Arabidopsis thaliana: one gene and its partners. The protein of the gene in region 3 interacts with the protein of the main gene of each other region in a pairwise test. Each region holds a gene or a part of one and is shown on either strand. Other genes may lie near its edges.

The links.
Region 1: the proteins of CPL1 (region 3) and MYB3 interact in a two-hybrid assay, tested with the Arabidopsis thaliana proteins (one study listed by BioGRID).
Region 2: the proteins of CPL1 (region 3) and XBAT31 interact in a two-hybrid assay, tested with the Arabidopsis thaliana proteins (one study listed by BioGRID).

What each region holds. Positions count from the first base shown.
Region 1 is NC_003070.9:8,004,432-8,008,041, forward strand, and holds MYB3 (myb domain protein 3), read left to right. Parts: upstream 1-1,632; 5' UTR 1,633-1,857; coding exon 1,858-1,990; intron 1,991-1,991; exon of another isoform or gene 1,992-2,067; coding exon 2,068-2,197; exon of another isoform or gene 2,198-2,230; coding exon of another isoform or gene 2,231-2,277; coding exon 2,278-2,788; 3' UTR 2,789-3,029; downstream 3,030-3,610.
Region 2 is NC_003071.7:12,376,234-12,381,377, forward strand, and holds XBAT31 (uncharacterized protein), read left to right. Parts: upstream 1-2,038; 5' UTR 2,039-2,308; coding exon 2,309-2,488; coding exon of another isoform or gene 2,489-2,576; coding exon 2,577-2,636; intron 2,637-2,713; coding exon 2,714-2,785; intron 2,786-2,858; coding exon 2,859-2,980; intron 2,981-3,061; coding exon 3,062-3,202; intron 3,203-3,292; coding exon 3,293-3,400; intron 3,401-3,475; coding exon 3,476-3,728; intron 3,729-3,806; coding exon 3,807-4,241; 3' UTR 4,242-4,576; downstream 4,577-5,144. UniProt on the Arabidopsis thaliana protein: No E3 ubiquitin-protein ligase activity observed when associated with the E2 enzyme UBC8 in vitro.
Region 3 is NC_003075.7:11,509,416-11,517,103, forward strand, and holds the start of CPL1 (C-terminal domain phosphatase-like 1), read left to right. Parts: upstream 1-1,573; 5' UTR 1,574-2,095; coding exon 2,096-2,413; intron 2,414-2,651; coding exon 2,652-3,128; intron 3,129-3,355; coding exon 3,356-3,566; intron 3,567-3,645; coding exon 3,646-3,803; intron 3,804-4,073; coding exon 4,074-4,141; intron 4,142-4,251; coding exon 4,252-4,357; intron 4,358-4,483; coding exon 4,484-4,567; intron 4,568-4,706; coding exon 4,707-5,312; intron 5,313-5,412; coding exon 5,413-5,476; intron 5,477-5,559; coding exon 5,560-5,690; intron 5,691-5,763; coding exon 5,764-5,817; intron 5,818-5,963; coding exon 5,964-6,060; intron 6,061-6,518; coding exon 6,519-6,733; intron 6,734-6,836; coding exon 6,837-6,923; intron 6,924-7,119; coding exon 7,120-7,185; intron 7,186-7,259; coding exon 7,260-7,333; intron 7,334-7,419; coding exon 7,420-7,507; 3' UTR 7,508-7,688. Other genes in the region: AT4G21660 (proline-rich spliceosome-associated (PSP) family protein), read right to left, coding at 1-15, 136-357. UniProt on the Arabidopsis thaliana protein: Processively dephosphorylates 'Ser-5' but not 'Ser-2' of the heptad repeats YSPTSPS in the C-terminal domain of the largest RNA polymerase II subunit (RPB1). This promotes the activity of RNA polymerase II.

The DNA of each region.
Region 1 (3,610 bases), on a different chromosome or scaffold from region 3:
ACGAAATATTAAGTTTTAGTTGCGCTTCGGACGTTATGTTTTTTTGAATCGTGTTTTCGCCATGTTCTTTTGTGCATAGGGAACCTTCGATTCCAATTCCATATCGATCAGTGTACCTCCGAAGAACCTTTCTTTGAACGTCGTAGTTCATGTTAGCCAATAGTCAGGAAGACTCAGAAGGTAGAAGTGTTGTACAACAATGTTTGGCATTTGGCGTAGCGTGATGAAATTAGAAGCTTGTTTGCGGTTAGCCATGTTGGGCTTTGCAAGTAATGGCCCATGACCAATACAATGCTATGAACAAAAGGCCCATCCGCTCATGACTCTTCTTATGTTTCTTTCTTAATTAAGCATAGATTACTAGCTTATGACAAAACATTGAAGATTGAACAGTAGTTAAATTACGTTGAATAGTAGTTAGATTGTACGGGGTTTTCTATATAAGAAAAAATGTTTACGATTGAGAAAGAAAAACAGAACTATAATAAACTTATGAAATTAAGCTTTAGATAGAATTACATCACTGTTGTAAAATTCAACTCCTCTTTAAATATTGAAAAGAATTCTGATAACTTCTGCAAAAGTGCAAAGGACTAAAATACGTATGGGGCGTGTGAGACAAAAACATTTAACATTTATACGATTCTATGCGACTAATTTATCTAATCGCCTGTTATAGCGACGTTATTCCAATTTCCAAGAAAAATCATCCCAATGTTGATTGATACCATTTAAGTACCTTACAAGTTACTAGTAAATTCATTTTAAAAATGTATTCTTTAATTGGACCGTCGTTACAATGTGAAATCCGAAAATAAAATATAAAAAAAAACTTAAGAGACACAACAGTAGAAGAAGGACCAAGTACACATGCCCAAACCCAATAATTCAGTTATCCAACTAATCTAAATAATATTCATGTTTTTATAATTGAAGAGACAAAGGAGAGAGGAATGTGATAAAATCATAAGAAAGGACACGTGGAGGTACGTGAAGGAAGTAGCGTGTGGAGAGAGTGATTGGAGAAGAGAGAGATGAAAAAAGACAGCTACCTACTCATCTTCCCAATCTATCTACCTACTTTCTCCCAGATCTACTTTTTTTTTGTTCTTTTTAACATTTTCCCAAAATTAGGTTTAAGTACTTTTTTTTGTTAATAATGCAGTAAACAATTGTTTAATTCAATAATGCAAAAAAAATTGGTTTAATTTTCCGCTAAACAAATTTATTGATATTAAAACGAGTTTACAAAATCGTTACAGAAACTAAGAAGTAAATTTGATGATGTTAAAAACACTTTATTCACTAACTGATTAGTGATTACTTAAACCGTTATTTAGTTATTTTCTCTTTTATAATCGATCTTTTTATACGAAAGTTACGCGTGACTATATTTTTTTATATGCAATAAGAATGGTTAAAAACAGTACATGTTGCAATGAATTGTGGAATTTGTAAAATGATTATGATATTTTTTTTGAGCAGATGAGATGATTCTAAAGAGCCAAAAAGTCAATAACCAAAACCGTACGATCTACATCTCAGAAAACAAAAAACAAAAAAAGTTAGGAAACTCCACCCACGTTCCTCCTGTGAGTGTACTACAATCAAATTTGTGTTTTCTGGTTGGTGTTACAATATTCTTTAGGCACAAAAAAACGAACACATCATTTCATTTGTTAGATACATTTTTATTTTTAACTTTGGTATTAAAATAATGTTAGGTAGTTATTATAAATAACATTCAAAACGAAAACACCATCCTACAGGAACTCTCTTCCTTGCAAAAAAAATAAAACACTATTTCCTCCAAATACACGTAGAGAGATACATATATACATATAGAGATCAACAAAGATGGGAAGATCACCATGCTGCGAGAAAGCTCACATGAACAAAGGAGCTTGGACTAAAGAAGAAGATCAGCTTCTTGTTGATTACATCCGTAAACACGGTGAAGGTTGCTGGCGATCTCTCCCTCGCGCCGCTGGTACTTATTCATACATCCTCTGTTTCTTTATATTTACAGAGAGGTAAAGATTTGATTTTTGATTGAACTTTGTGCAGGATTACAAAGATGTGGTAAGAGTTGTAGATTGAGATGGATGAATTATCTAAGACCAGATCTCAAAAGAGGCAATTTTACTGAAGAAGAAGATGAACTCATCATCAAGCTCCATAGCTTGCTCGGTAACAAGTTAGTCTCTTTCTCTCACACTTTTTTAAGAATATGATTATATTTGTGAAAGATTCTGAAACTTTGTGTTGTTGTTATAGATGGTCTTTAATAGCTGGGAGATTACCAGGAAGAACAGATAACGAGATCAAGAACTATTGGAACACTCATATCAAGAGGAAGCTTCTCAGCCGTGGGATTGATCCAAACTCTCACCGTCTGATCAACGAATCCGTCGTGTCTCCGTCGTCTCTTCAAAACGATGTCGTTGAGACTATACATCTTGATTTCTCTGGACCGGTTAAACCGGAACCGGTGCGTGAAGAGATTGGTATGGTTAATAATTGTGAGAGTAGTGGAACGACGTCGGAGAAGGATTATGGGAACGAGGAAGATTGGGTGTTGAATTTGGAACTCTCTGTTGGACCGAGTTATCGGTACGAGTCGACTCGGAAAGTGAGTGTTGTTGACTCGGCTGAGTCGACTCGACGGTGGGGTTCCGAGTTGTTTGGAGCTCATGAGAGTGATGCGGTGTGTTTGTGTTGTCGGATTGGGTTGTTTCGTAATGAGTCGTGTCGGAATTGTCGGGTTTCTGATGTTAGAACTCATTAGAGAGTCAATCGAGAATTCTTTAGGAATCTTTTTATATATTTAGATCGTCAATTGTGTTTTTTTTTTGTTCACATTTGTTATGTAACATCAAGTAAGAAACTAGCATAATTATTTGATGGCAAAGCCAAAAGATTGTGCTCAAAGAAATTTATAAAAACAACAATTAGGGCATGTTGTACTTGCAGATGCTAAAAAACGGTAATTTTTATAAATGTTATAATTTCATAATCTAGCAAACTAATTAATTTAATACTACATTTTATTTGTGATTAATCTTGTTATATGATATACGTCATATGTTTTAAGAGTTTTTTTTGGTTTCAAATTTCTATGTAGAATTAATGTTTTCATTTTTTAATTTACGTATGTCAATTAAATTCAGTGAAATGTAAATTTTAATGAAATTACCAAATTCAAGCGATGAAATCATGAAATCACATTTTTTTGCGTCACAAATAGTTTCTGAAAATATGTAATAATTCCAAGCCATGTAACTTAAAAATGTGGAGACAATATATAATTCGATGTCAAATTTCACCTATTTGAAGTGTTCCTATTAATTAGATTATACTATTGAATGAGTCATTTCAAGCAGATAATACGCAGAGCAACTTTGATGCAGACGTTAAAACCATACCTAAATGATGTTTGGTTTGGTGTCGTCACTTTTTGTATGTGCTTTTTAGTTCTTGCCTATTTTTTTGGCTATTCGCATGTCTTCTCTTCATTTTTTTTTGATTTTAACATACTAATCCACTTACATTTTGAATTTCAAATAACCTAACCTACAACCTTTACAAGTATTTTAGGAATTCAAAGAAA
Region 2 (5,144 bases), on a different chromosome or scaffold from region 3:
AAGAAGAAAAACGCCATTCTGGTCAACAAATTTTGGGCCAATATTCCAAATACACGTTACTATATTTTCGATTGAAATGTCGTATTGTAATTAATACAGTATAGTAGTAGAACAATATTAGAGACACGTACGTAGGTTTGGTTAGATGCTTTTGTCTATAACTCTATGCCAAGTAATGATTGGTGATTCGTCAATCGTAATTCTTTTTTTTTATATATAAACCCAAATAATTTGCTTTACAATCTCTGAATTCTATGTTTTGAGATCATCCATATTCCAATCTAACTGTCGTTAAGGCTCTTCTTTCAAAGGAAGACCCTATTTGCAAGTTGGACACAGACGGACAAGTTCTCAACGATTAGGAGAAAATCGTTAGGACTAATCAAAGTTTTAGATAGGTACCACTACCTAAATAAACTATGTACGAGGACGATACATCCAGTACAAGAGAAATATATATGCAACCTCATCATATAAAATCATAGTCACGAGATTTTATGACAGATCTTAGTCGTACATAAATGGCTGACAGATTTGCATGATATATTGCAATGATATATTTTTTTTTAACCCAAAACATTTTACCAGCTTATATCAACAATAGACATATATATAATCTGAAATAAGGAATCTAATAAAATAGCTCTTAATATTGAATTTAAAGAAGAAAAAAAGTGAAACAAAGCATTCGAGATTTGATGTCGAAGTCCACATCGGGAAGCGAAGGTCATCAAACGGCCACTTGGACTCCGATGAGAAAATTTCAAGTGGGCTGCTTGTTGGCTTTTAGTATAATATTGACCACAAATTATTTATATGCTTTTTAGTTATAATATGCAGATATTGTATCTATATAATACTCCATGAATAGTATACATATGAGTGTGTTTCTTTTTGTTAAATATCCAAGGAAGAGTGCATAATCATTTTGGAACCATTTATGTTTAAATAATAAAATTTATGATATATATACTGTATCAAAATAACTATGTGTTATTAGAGAAAATGAAGATATAGTCATTAAGTTAGGTAATTTAATATGTACAATATTTTAAGAATATCATGTCATTTTATAAATTTATATTATTTCAAACCAAACTAAATTGCTTTAGCTTCTGTCGAAACTGCCTACTATTTAAATTTGTTTTTCTAAAAACTTCTTTGATCGAATTAGCTTTCCCGAAGTTCTAGTACAATTCTAAAAATTGTGTACTAGAATCTACAAATAGCATATTAAACTTTAAATTTCCTTTGAACTAGCTTGTACATAAACTACCATTTCTTTTCTTGTTTATTTGTGACTTAAGTGTTAAAATTTTTCTTCACACCATCTAGCAAAACACCTAACATTGTTCCCTTTCCAATAATCGAATCGCCTATCCTACAATCATCGATAATTTAGTATAGGATCTAGAAGACTTACTATGACTAATTTTGACAATGGTGAAATAATCAAACTTTTTTTATTAAACTAATGTGTTGTATTGGATCAGAAAACATGATTTACATAATGTTTGTAACATTGATATCACCCCCTACATGTATATTAAAAGCCTTATCGACTCCAAATTTTTACCGAAAAAATTGAAAAATTGTTCAAAAACACAGTTTTAGGATCTCATTATACAGATCAAATCACACGAATTCATATCATAATAATTTTTTTGGAAGTCCGGTTATTTTACTAATTTGATCCAACATATCTATGATGAATCTTAGTTAAGATGTGGTGATCACTCAAACAGTAAATTTGTAAATTTTGTTCATTAAAATCAGTTTCTTGTGGACAAAACCATCCTATTTTTGGCAAATCAAAGAAAATATAATTAATCTCAAAGAAAAAAGCTACAAGAAAAAAAAAATGGCCTCAAAATAAAAATAGAAAATATCTGACAAGACTGCCCGAAATCACAAGTAACTGTAACAAAACTGACAACGGGCAAAAAAAAAAAAAAAAAAAAAAAAAACTGCCCGTCGGGCAAATCCTCCAATAGAGAGTCGTCTCTCTTTATCTCCGTCTCTCTCTTTTTTTTTTAATCAACTTTATAAAAAAAACAAAAAAAAAATTTAAAAATTAATATCTTCTCAACAAATGACTCTATCAATGTGTACATAAATGTGAATCTTCTTCCCTCTTCTTCTTCTCCATTGTTAAAAGCTCTCACACAACCACCGTTCTCCGTCACGGTGGCGCTTTATTCTCTCATCGGAGCGCCTCACCGGTGGCAGACGGTGTCGTTGTTCCTCTCCTAAAACCTCCATCAATCACCATCTCTTTACACAGAGCTCTAACCAAAATCTTCGAGAGATGGGGCAGAGTATGAGCTGTGGAAGTCGACCGGAGCACGGAATATTCGCCTCTGTACAGTGCGGCGATATCATCACTATCCGTCGTGTGATGGCGACGGAGCCTAGTCTGTTGAATCAAACTACTCCTTATGATCGTCACTCTGTTCTTCATGTCGCTGCTGCTAATGGTCAGATCGAGGTTAGTTTCAGTGATATTCTCCGAGATCTCGCCGGAATCTCGTCGGAATCTGGTATTTTTGTTTCTGATGTATCTACTTTTTTTGCAGATTTTGTCATTGCTTTTGGAACGATTTACGAATCCAGATTTGTTGAATCGTCACAAGCAGGTTTTTGATTTTCGCATTGATCTGTTCTGTGTATAGTTTTCATGAATCTTTTGCTGATGCTTTGATTCGTCTTGTAGACTCCGTTAATGTTGGCTGCGATGTATGGAAGAATCTCTTGTGTGAAGAAGCTAGCTGAAGTTGGAGCTAATGTACGTTTACTTTTTTGTTTTGCAATTGAATCGATTTTGGATTTGGTAATTGAAAATCTTTTGGAATCTGCAGATTTTGATGTTTGATTCTGTGAATCGAAGAACATGTTTGCATTACGCTGCTTATTATGGACATGCTAATTGTGTTCAAGCTATTCTCTCTGCTGCTCAATCAAGTCCTGTTGCTGTCCATTGGTAAGTCTCTTCCTATCTTTGATCAGAGTTTACTTATTCCTGAGAATGAAACTTTTGACACTCAGGGGTTTTCATTTTCAGGGGATATGCGAGATTTGTGAACATAAGAGATGATAAAGGAGCGACTCCGTTGCATTTAGCTGCTCGACAGAGACGACCTGAATGTGTGAATGTTTTGTTGGATAGTGGTTCTCTTGTTTGTGCATCTACTAGTGTATATGGGTAATGGTTTTTCTTGTCATGCATTGAAATCAACAGTTCTTAGATGTTTTGTTCTATTGGAACTGATTCTTTAAGCTTTTGTTGAAACAGTTCTCCAGGAAGCACACCTCTTCATTTAGCAGCTAGAAGTGGATCTATAGATTGTGTCAGAAAGTTGCTTGCTTGGGGTGCTGATCGTCTTCAACGAGACGCTTCTGGGTATATATATAAATTTTGTGGAAAAGTCTTGTTTTGGTTTCAGAACATAACTTGAATCTTGAAATATCTTTTCAGGAGAATACCTTATGTGGTTGCGATGAAGCATAAGCATGGAGCATGTGGAGCCTTACTTAATCCGTCCTCTGCAGAGCCACTTGTTTGGCCATCACCATTAAAGTTCATCAGTGAGCTTAATGACGAGGCGAAACTTCTCTTAGAGCAGGCTTTAATGGAGGCTAACAGGGAGAGAGAGAAAACCATCCTCAAAGGAACAGCTTATTCCTTACCATCACCCTCTTTCTCTGACACGGATGATAACATGTCCGAGGTAATAATACTACACTCTTTACTTTCCCCGTGGCTCGGTAATTTTTGTGATTGTAGTAACATGTAAATGTGTCTATAGGTGAGTGATACGGAACTGTGCTGCATTTGCTTTGAGCAAGTATGTACAATTGAAGTTAAAGACTGTGGTCACCAAATGTGTGCACAATGCACACTTGCACTGTGCTGTCACAACAAACCAAACCCAACGACCTCAACCGTGACTCCACCGGTCTGTCCGTTCTGTAGAAGCACCATTGCATGTTTAGTCGTCGCCCAGAACAACAACAACAACAACGAAAAGAGCAAAAGCCTAGATGATGTTGTTGTTGTTGATCGTGAGGCAGGTGATGTTAGCTCCTCCAAATTCAGAAAACATAGAAGATCAATAAACCTTGGCGAAGAAAGCAGCAGCTTCATGGGACTATCAACTATTGGATCATTCGGTAGGATAACCGGCCGTGGCTCGGGAAGGATCGCAGCCGAAAACGAGCTGATGGACAAACCAATATTGTGAGGGATCGATTCCGTTTTAAGGGACATTTTGGGGCATGGGGGAGCAATAAAAAAGATGAGGGGATGAAATTGTGAGAATGTATAAAATATAGATGAATTTATGTTAGATCTTTTGTTGAAGGGAGGAAGATTGAAATAAGGAAAAAGATGTGGGGAGGTGTGTAATGCAAGGATTTGTTGTTTCTTTGATTAAGTTTGGCCAAAATTGTTTGTTGTTGTTATTATTTGGTTACTTGATATGAAAGGGAAACCCATAATCTTTTTGTCTTTGTCTCACTTTTTTTGGTTATTTTCTCACTTAACTTACCAAGAAAAGGCAAATTAGACTTTTCGCCTACTATTTCATTAAAAATGATAATTTTCGTTTGTCTAATTTTATATTTTCACTATATACAAAAACCTGGAGAATTTAGGTTGGATTTGTGAGAAGGGAACAAATGTGATGTGAACGGCTGCTAATAAGTCGCCAACGACCAACGTGGATTAAGATGGAGAGTCTGAAAAAGAAGAAGAAAAGGTTTTATCTCGGTGGTGTTTAGGGATCATTGACCCTACACGATCCCATCACTTTCTAGCAACTTGTGGTCTCCAAATATGGCTCCTTTGTACTTTAACTAAAATATCTAAAACATTTTTAACTTTGGTCAATTTAGATCAACTAGTAGATACACATGGCCACTTTTTGTTTATTCTTGGACAATTAGTTTTGGTACGTCAAGACAATTAGTATCGAGTCATAGGGAAGACCGATTCGGTGGGTATTTATTTATCTAAATCGATTTTAGAAAAGTAAACCTACTGGTTATGATAACATAAAATTAGACAAACGAAAAGAATGCGTGATTGATTTCTTACTTTTATATGTCTAAAACGTGTTTAAGCCTAAAGAGTAGGTTGAATCGAT
Region 3 (7,688 bases):
AATCTGCTCACAAACCTATCAAAGAGAAACATATACCAAAAATCATCAGCAAACGATAAACAATCACAAACCCTAAGAAAAACCCTAGAACACCTCTCCATGAATCGAGTACGAGAAGATGAGCACAAAGTTAACCTGTGGCTGGGGATCTGTATTCTCTTTGGATTCAGAAGCAGCAGAAACGTCCGATGCATCTACATCGGCTTGGGATGCTTTGTTGTTCTTCTTCTGCTTCCGTCTGCGGCGGCGACGGTCAATCTCACGAGATTTCTTAGAGGAAGCGGAGGTGTTTCCGTTGGAGACATCACCGTTAGAAACGACGCTATGAACGAGTGCGACGGTTGAATCGGCGGTCATATTCGGTGTTCTCTCTGAATCGGTGATGTGAAAAGAGAGATTGAGAGGAGAAGGAAGAACGACGGAAATCGAGGATATACGTATATGAACAAGAGTCGGTTTGCTGAAATTCTCTCTGATTCTATTTCCGGTTTGGCATAAGGCCCATATAAGTAGAAGACGAATATATCTGCCAATAGGCCCAACACTTTATATTTTTCTTCGAGTGTAAGAATTGTTTTGTAGAAGACCATCTACTAGTAACTAATAGAAAATTTCAAAGGAAATGTATGGAACAATATTCAAACACTACTATAAATGTTGGCACGAGTTAACTCTACATTATTCGTAAAAATGTTCTATTGAACTTTTAAAATTATAAAATTACAGTTTACACAATGTCTTGAAATTTTGAAGAAAGTTATAAGTATCAAAATTGTATATATGTGGGTATTTGAGATTTAAATAAAATTCTCTGACTAACAACAAAACTTTTAATAAAATTTAAATGTTTTAGTTTATTATTCGTAAAAATTTAGTTTTTACATGAATTGAGGTAATTTTTATTCACTTTGAGATTTTATTAATGTGAGCACGACTCCCGGTGTATGTTATCGGTTGTTTATTATGCAATTAGAACAATATACATTGTGCCTTTTTAGTTTCAAAATTGTTTTCATAAGACATTAGGAAAGAACACGGAAAAAAAAGACATTAGGAAAGAATTTTGTAACGGCTTTTGTACGTAACGGTTATTTTTAAACAAGGAAAAAAATACTGTCTATAAAAAAAAATTATCTTTACGTAGTTGTGTATTTTAGAAAACAAAATAAATCATTTTTTATTTACTAAACTATTATTTTATAAGGAAAAGATTGAAAAGAGTAGGGGAAAGATATATGTGAAAAAATATTCATGCTTGGTAGATAAAAAATATTTCACAAATAAAGAGACAAGTATATGTCAAAAATATCATGTCTTTTGAATAAATAATCTTCTAAAAAAAAAGAATTAGATGAACTATAAATATCTTGTGGTATATGAATCCTTGACACTGTAAAAATCAAAACATGAGATCAGAAACACAAGTATAAAAGTACATTACAAGTACGGTATGAATCGAAAAAAAAACAGAATTTGACAGGTTTTGAGCTGATAAAAACTATTTCAGGCTTTTATTAATTTTTAAAAATAGTATTAATTGTTTTTAAAATAAGACATAAATAAAAAAAAGAACGGTTAAAGAAAATGAAGGGGCCCTTCGTGTTTTGTTTTCCCTTAAAAAAACCAAGGACAAAGGCATAATGCCGTATTCACAATCTTGACTCTTCGTTATCTGGATCTAGGGTTTCTCTCGATTTTTAGAACGCCACAAAACCTAATAAACTTTTCCCAGATACACAAACAAACTCATCATCAACCAAGGAAGAAGAAAGAAACTAGGGTTTTTTTTTGTGGATTCATCATCGGTATTTTACAGATCTATATTCAAAGGGAACAAAATCTTAAGGAACAAACACTAAATTTTCATTCTTTCTCTTATTTACCCATTTATCAAAAATCTTCCTTTTGTTTTCCTGATTCTTGCTAAAGAAAAAAACTCGGATCCAATTCATAAACTAGTGTGGACTGGTGATCAATCTATCAATTCTGGCCAAGGGACAACAAAAAGTTTAGATTTTGATGAACCAATTTTGAGATGAGACAATAGACATCCATTGATCTGTAAACTTTAAGAAGGAGAAGGAGAAAAGAAAGTATGTATAGTAATAATAGAGTAGAAGTGTTTCATGGTGATGGAAGACTTGGAGAATTGGAGATATACCCTTCAAGGGAATTGAATCAGCAACAAGATGATGTGATGAAGCAGAGGAAGAAGAAACAGAGGGAAGTAATGGAGCTAGCCAAGATGGGAATCAGAATAAGCCACTTTTCTCAATCTGGCGAGAGGTGTCCTCCTCTTGCAATACTTACTACAATTTCATCTTGTGGCCTTTGTTTCAAATTAGAAGCTTCACCTTCTCCAGCTCAGGAGTCACTCAGTTTATTCTACTCGTCCTGTCTCAGGGACAACAAGGTATCTAAACCTTACGAACCTTTAAGCCTTACTCAGACTTAGATTTTATCAACTAAAACTCAAAAACACTTAATGATAAATAGGATTTTGTGTCATTATTTAACTTCCTTAATGTCAGAGCTGCATCAAGTTTGGGGCTTTAGAAACTTTTAGTAGAGTGGGGGTTTGAATCTTGTGTTGTTTGTTATGTTACAAATTGTCCTCATATTTGTGAGTTTTGGATTTTTGCTTCTTGCAGACAGCAGTAATGCTCTTGGGTGGAGAAGAGCTCCATTTGGTTGCTATGTACTCGGAAAATATCAAGAATGACCGTCCTTGTTTCTGGGCATTTAGTGTTGCTCCTGGAATTTACGATTCCTGTCTTGTTATGTTGAATCTTAGATGTCTGGGTATTGTCTTTGATCTTGATGAAACCCTTGTAGTGGCGAATACCATGCGCTCATTTGAGGATAAGATTGACGGGTTTCAGCGGAGAATAAACAACGAGATGGACCCTCAACGCCTTGCCGTTATAGTGGCTGAGATGAAGCGTTATCAAGATGACAAAAATCTATTGAAGCAATATATTGAAAGTGACCAGGTTGTTGAAAACGGGGAGGTGATAAAGGTGCAATCTGAAATTGTTCCTGCCTTGTCTGACAACCATCAGCCTCTTGTTCGCCCTCTGATAAGGTTGCAAGAGAAGAATATTATTCTGACTCGCATTAACCCAATGGTATGCAAGTCTTGAATCAGTATATGTCTGTTAGTTTCTGTTCCCCGTATACATATATGTTTAGTGCTTACTACACATTTAAAAGACAATAAGTGGTGGTGTGCTGTGTGGTGGATTTCCTTGAATACTTGTGGTATAACCTTTTATTTTTCATTTGCTCCTTTCTGGAGCACCTAGATTTTTCTGAATTCTTGTGGCTGAATCTGCATTCCTATATTTACACACAGATTCGTGATACAAGTGTTCTTGTGAGAATGAGGCCCTCATGGGAGGAACTTCGAAGCTATTTGACAGCAAAAGGGCGTAAGCGTTTTGAAGTATATGTTTGCACGATGGCTGAAAGAGATTACGCCTTAGAGATGTGGAGGCTCCTTGATCCAGAAGGGAATTTGATAAACACAAATGACTTGCTTGCTCGCATCGTTTGTGTGAAATCTGGTATACTTTTTGGTATCTTATACCTGCTTATATTTCATCATGGTAAAACTTCTTACAAGCTTGTAATTAACCACCACAGGTTTTAAAAAGTCACTGTTCAATGTGTTTCTCGATGGAACCTGCCATCCAAAGATGGCATTGGTAATTGATGATCGATTGAAAGTTTGGGATGAGAAGGATCAGCCGAGGGTACATGTGGTTCCTGCATTCGCTCCCTATTATTCTCCTCAAGCTGAAGTAAGTATAATTTTTACCTAGTTGAAATTGGTTATGAAAAATGCAGAAGCATGTGAATTTGATAAGAATATTATTAATCAAAAGAATCACAAGTCATTTAGAATGGAACAAATGAAGCCTTATAAGACCTAACATAAGCTAGCTTTGTGGTGAGTTCTACGCAAGGGGTCTTTGTGGGCCTGGTTTGTTGCACAATTTCTACCAGAAGTGATAGTCTTGACTTTTCAGTAATAAATGGTGTCACATATAGCTCGTTTCCTTTTCTTGTAGGCTGCTGCAACACCAGTACTATGTGTTGCCAGGAACGTTGCCTGTGGTGTCAGAGGTGGATTTTTCAGGTAAGATGTCAGATTTGATAATAGTAGTTTGTTTTCTTGACATCTCTACTGATCAAGGGTGCTTCCTTAGTACATACTTACGGTGAAATGGTATTTGAACTTGGTTACAGGGATTTTGATGATAGTCTGCTACCAAGGATTGCTGAAATTTCTTATGAGAATGATGCTGAGGATATTCCTTCTCCGCCTGATGTCAGCCATTATTTGGTGTCGGAGGTTAGTCGTGATACTTGTTAGCGATTGGGAGTAGATAATTTTTTGGTTCTCTTCCAGGCAGTCTGGGAGCTTATTTTACTCACCTTTGAAACTGCTTCCCAGTAACTCATTCTTTTTTCAATATAGGATGATACATCGGGTTTAAATGGGAACAAAGATCCACTTTCCTTTGACGGGATGGCTGATACTGAAGTGGAGAGAAGACTGAAGGTGATTTACATTTTGAGGCTCTATTGTTACTGAGTTATTGTGGTGATCCATTAAAGATGCCAACTCCAGTAAACATGGCTTCTGGTTTAAATTTTCTGCCCAATGTTGAAATTCAAATACATTTTTCCGTTTTATTCAGGAGGCAATTTCTGCATCTTCAGCTGTCCTTCCGGCGGCAAATATAGATCCGAGGATAGCTGCTCCCGTTCAGTTCCCCATGGCTTCTGCTTCTTCTGTTTCAGTTCCAGTACCAGTACAAGTCGTGCAACAAGCAATACAACCTTCAGCTATGGCCTTTCCAAGTATTCCATTTCAACAACCTCAACAACCGACATCAATAGCTAAACACTTGGTTCCTTCAGAACCAAGCTTGCAGAGTTCTCCTGCTAGAGAGGAAGGTGAGGTACCTGAATCAGAATTAGATCCAGATACTAGGAGGAGACTCCTCATATTGCAGCATGGACAAGATACTAGGGATCCTGCTCCAAGTGAACCTTCATTTCCTCAGAGACCTCCAGTTCAAGCTCCACCCTCACATGTGCAATCAAGAAATGGCTGGTTTCCTGTTGAGGAGGAGATGGATCCTGCTCAAATTCGTCGAGCAGTCTCAAAAGAATATCCGTTGGATTCTGAAATGATTCATATGGAAAAGCACAGGCCTCGTCATCCATCATTTTTTTCTAAGATTGATAACTCAACTCAGTCTGACAGGATGCTTCATGAGAATCGCAGGCCGCCAAAGGAGGTACCACTAATCTTATTTAACCTATGATTTTACAGTTGTCAGTTTTTTTGGTCTTTATACTGCTGTACGACGTTTAGTGCTCACTGTGATATATTTGCAGTCTCTCCGGAGAGATGAACAGTTACGTTCAAATAACAATCTACCTGACTCTCATCCTTTCTATGGTAAGCCATCAAAGTTATTTGTTCTTGTATCATTTTGTTCTGAAGATAAATCACTGACTTGGGTATTGGGATGGACTCTCTAGGGGAGGATGCGTCTTGGAATCAATCTTCCTCTAGGAACAGTGATCTTGACTTCCTACCTGAACGAAGTGTCTCAGCAACGGAGACTTCAGCTGATGTTCTACACGGAATTGCTATCAAATGTGGAGCTAAGGTATGTAAATATCATCATGATTACCATTAATTCCATACGTGAGTTGATGTGTTATTATTCCATGACATTGTAGGTGGAGTACAAACCAAGTTTAGTTTCTAGTACAGATTTGCGGTTCTCTGTTGAGGTACGTATTGCTCTTAGACGTATCTGTTTGTATGGTGTCAGTAATTTTGGTGGAACCTTATGCTCTTTGAGATCCTATATTTCCTTTGAGTGAGGTTACTTTGTTGATTGTGTCAACTGTACATTAAATCTATGTTTTTTTTGCAGGCTTGGCTTTCTAATCAAAAAATTGGAGAAGGGATTGGCAAATCGAGAAGAGAAGCCCTGCATAAGGCTGCTGAAGCTTCTATACAGAATTTAGCTGGTAAGACTTTCTGACTCATGATTTACTCGTGTCTTAATCTTTGTCTGCAGAGATACTATTTGAGATAGATTGTTTGAATCTGCTATATTGGGTGAATGTTATTTGTTTGATGTTTCTAAACCATCTTCACAATATTGGGTGTAGATCTCAATTTTTCAACCAATCTGTTTAGTCTGTAATATTAATAGATCTATTGTAGCTTCGTGTTGGTCCTCATAAATGGGTTTATATCAATGAGTATGAGTACTGCCACCACAAACGGTTGCGTGTCAGTATGTTATGATATCAAAACTGTGGGTCCCTTCCCTTTACAAGGGTGAGAGCTATCTTGGATTTGTGGCAGTTGGCTCAGGTTTAATATTGGTCGGCTTCATTCACATTGTTCTTATAATGAGGCTTTAAACTCATTGTTGTTCGTTTGTTTCCAGTTTCTTGAGTTCTTACTCCTTTTTTTGCAGATGGATATATGCGTGCAAATGGTGACCCAGGGCCCAGCCACAGAGATGCTACCCCCTTCACCAATGAAAATATAAGTATGGGAAACGCAAATGCGCTTAATAATCAGCCATTTGCTAGAGATGAAACAGCGTTGCCAGTTTCTTCTAGACCTACAGATCCGAGATTAGAAGGTTCTATGAGGCACACTGGCTCCATTACTGCACTCAGGGAATTGGTATGTATCTCCTTAGTGCGGATACTGTTGATTGATATGGTTGCTTGCTTACATTCACATATTGTTTTTTCTCATCTTTGATTCATCTGTAACCAAATTCCAGTGTGCATCGGAGGGTCTTGAGATGGCTTTTCAATCTCAGCGTCAGCTTCCATCTGACATGGTCCACAGAGATGAATTACATGCTCAGGTTCGCACCCCTAAAAGATTAGAACACAGAAGTGTTAAATTTTTTAAAAAAAAAATCTAAGATAGACAATTTTCAGTTAAAAGAGAAAGATTCATGATTTTCTCTTCAGGGCCATCAGTATATTTCATATCTATTCAATTGGTTTGAAGTATCTAGAGTGTAGACCCCTCTTGATACTCTTTGTAATATATTTCAGGTTGAAATAGATGGGCGTGTTGTAGGGGAAGGAGTTGGATCGACATGGGACGAAGCTAGAATGCAGGTAACTCAACTAAATTCTTGCCTCGGGTTTATTCTGATCCCATCTTTTCCCTTCTCTGACGTTCTTACCTTTAGGCTGCTGAGAGAGCACTGTCCAGTGTGAGATCAATGCTTGGTCAACCTCTGCATAAACGACAAGGATCTCCACGGTTTGTTCTTGACTATATCTATATGATTATCAAAATAAAAATGTCAGTTGATATATTTTAAAAACCGGTTTCTTGTTGATGTTTAGATCATTTGGTGGGATGTCAAACAAGCGATTAAAGCCGGACTTTCAACGGTCTCTGCAACGGATGCCATCTTCGGGAAGATACTCTTAAAAATAAAACCATGTGAAGAACGAACCACATTCTACATTAATTCCATTCTCTTGGTAAAAACAGCTACCAAGACGAATTCTTTGTCAAGTTCCTTTCTTCGCCAAATGATGATCAAGACAGCGAGAGTTGCCTCTCTTGTATTGATGTAACAACAATTTGAGGCGGTTCGCGATTTTTGTAT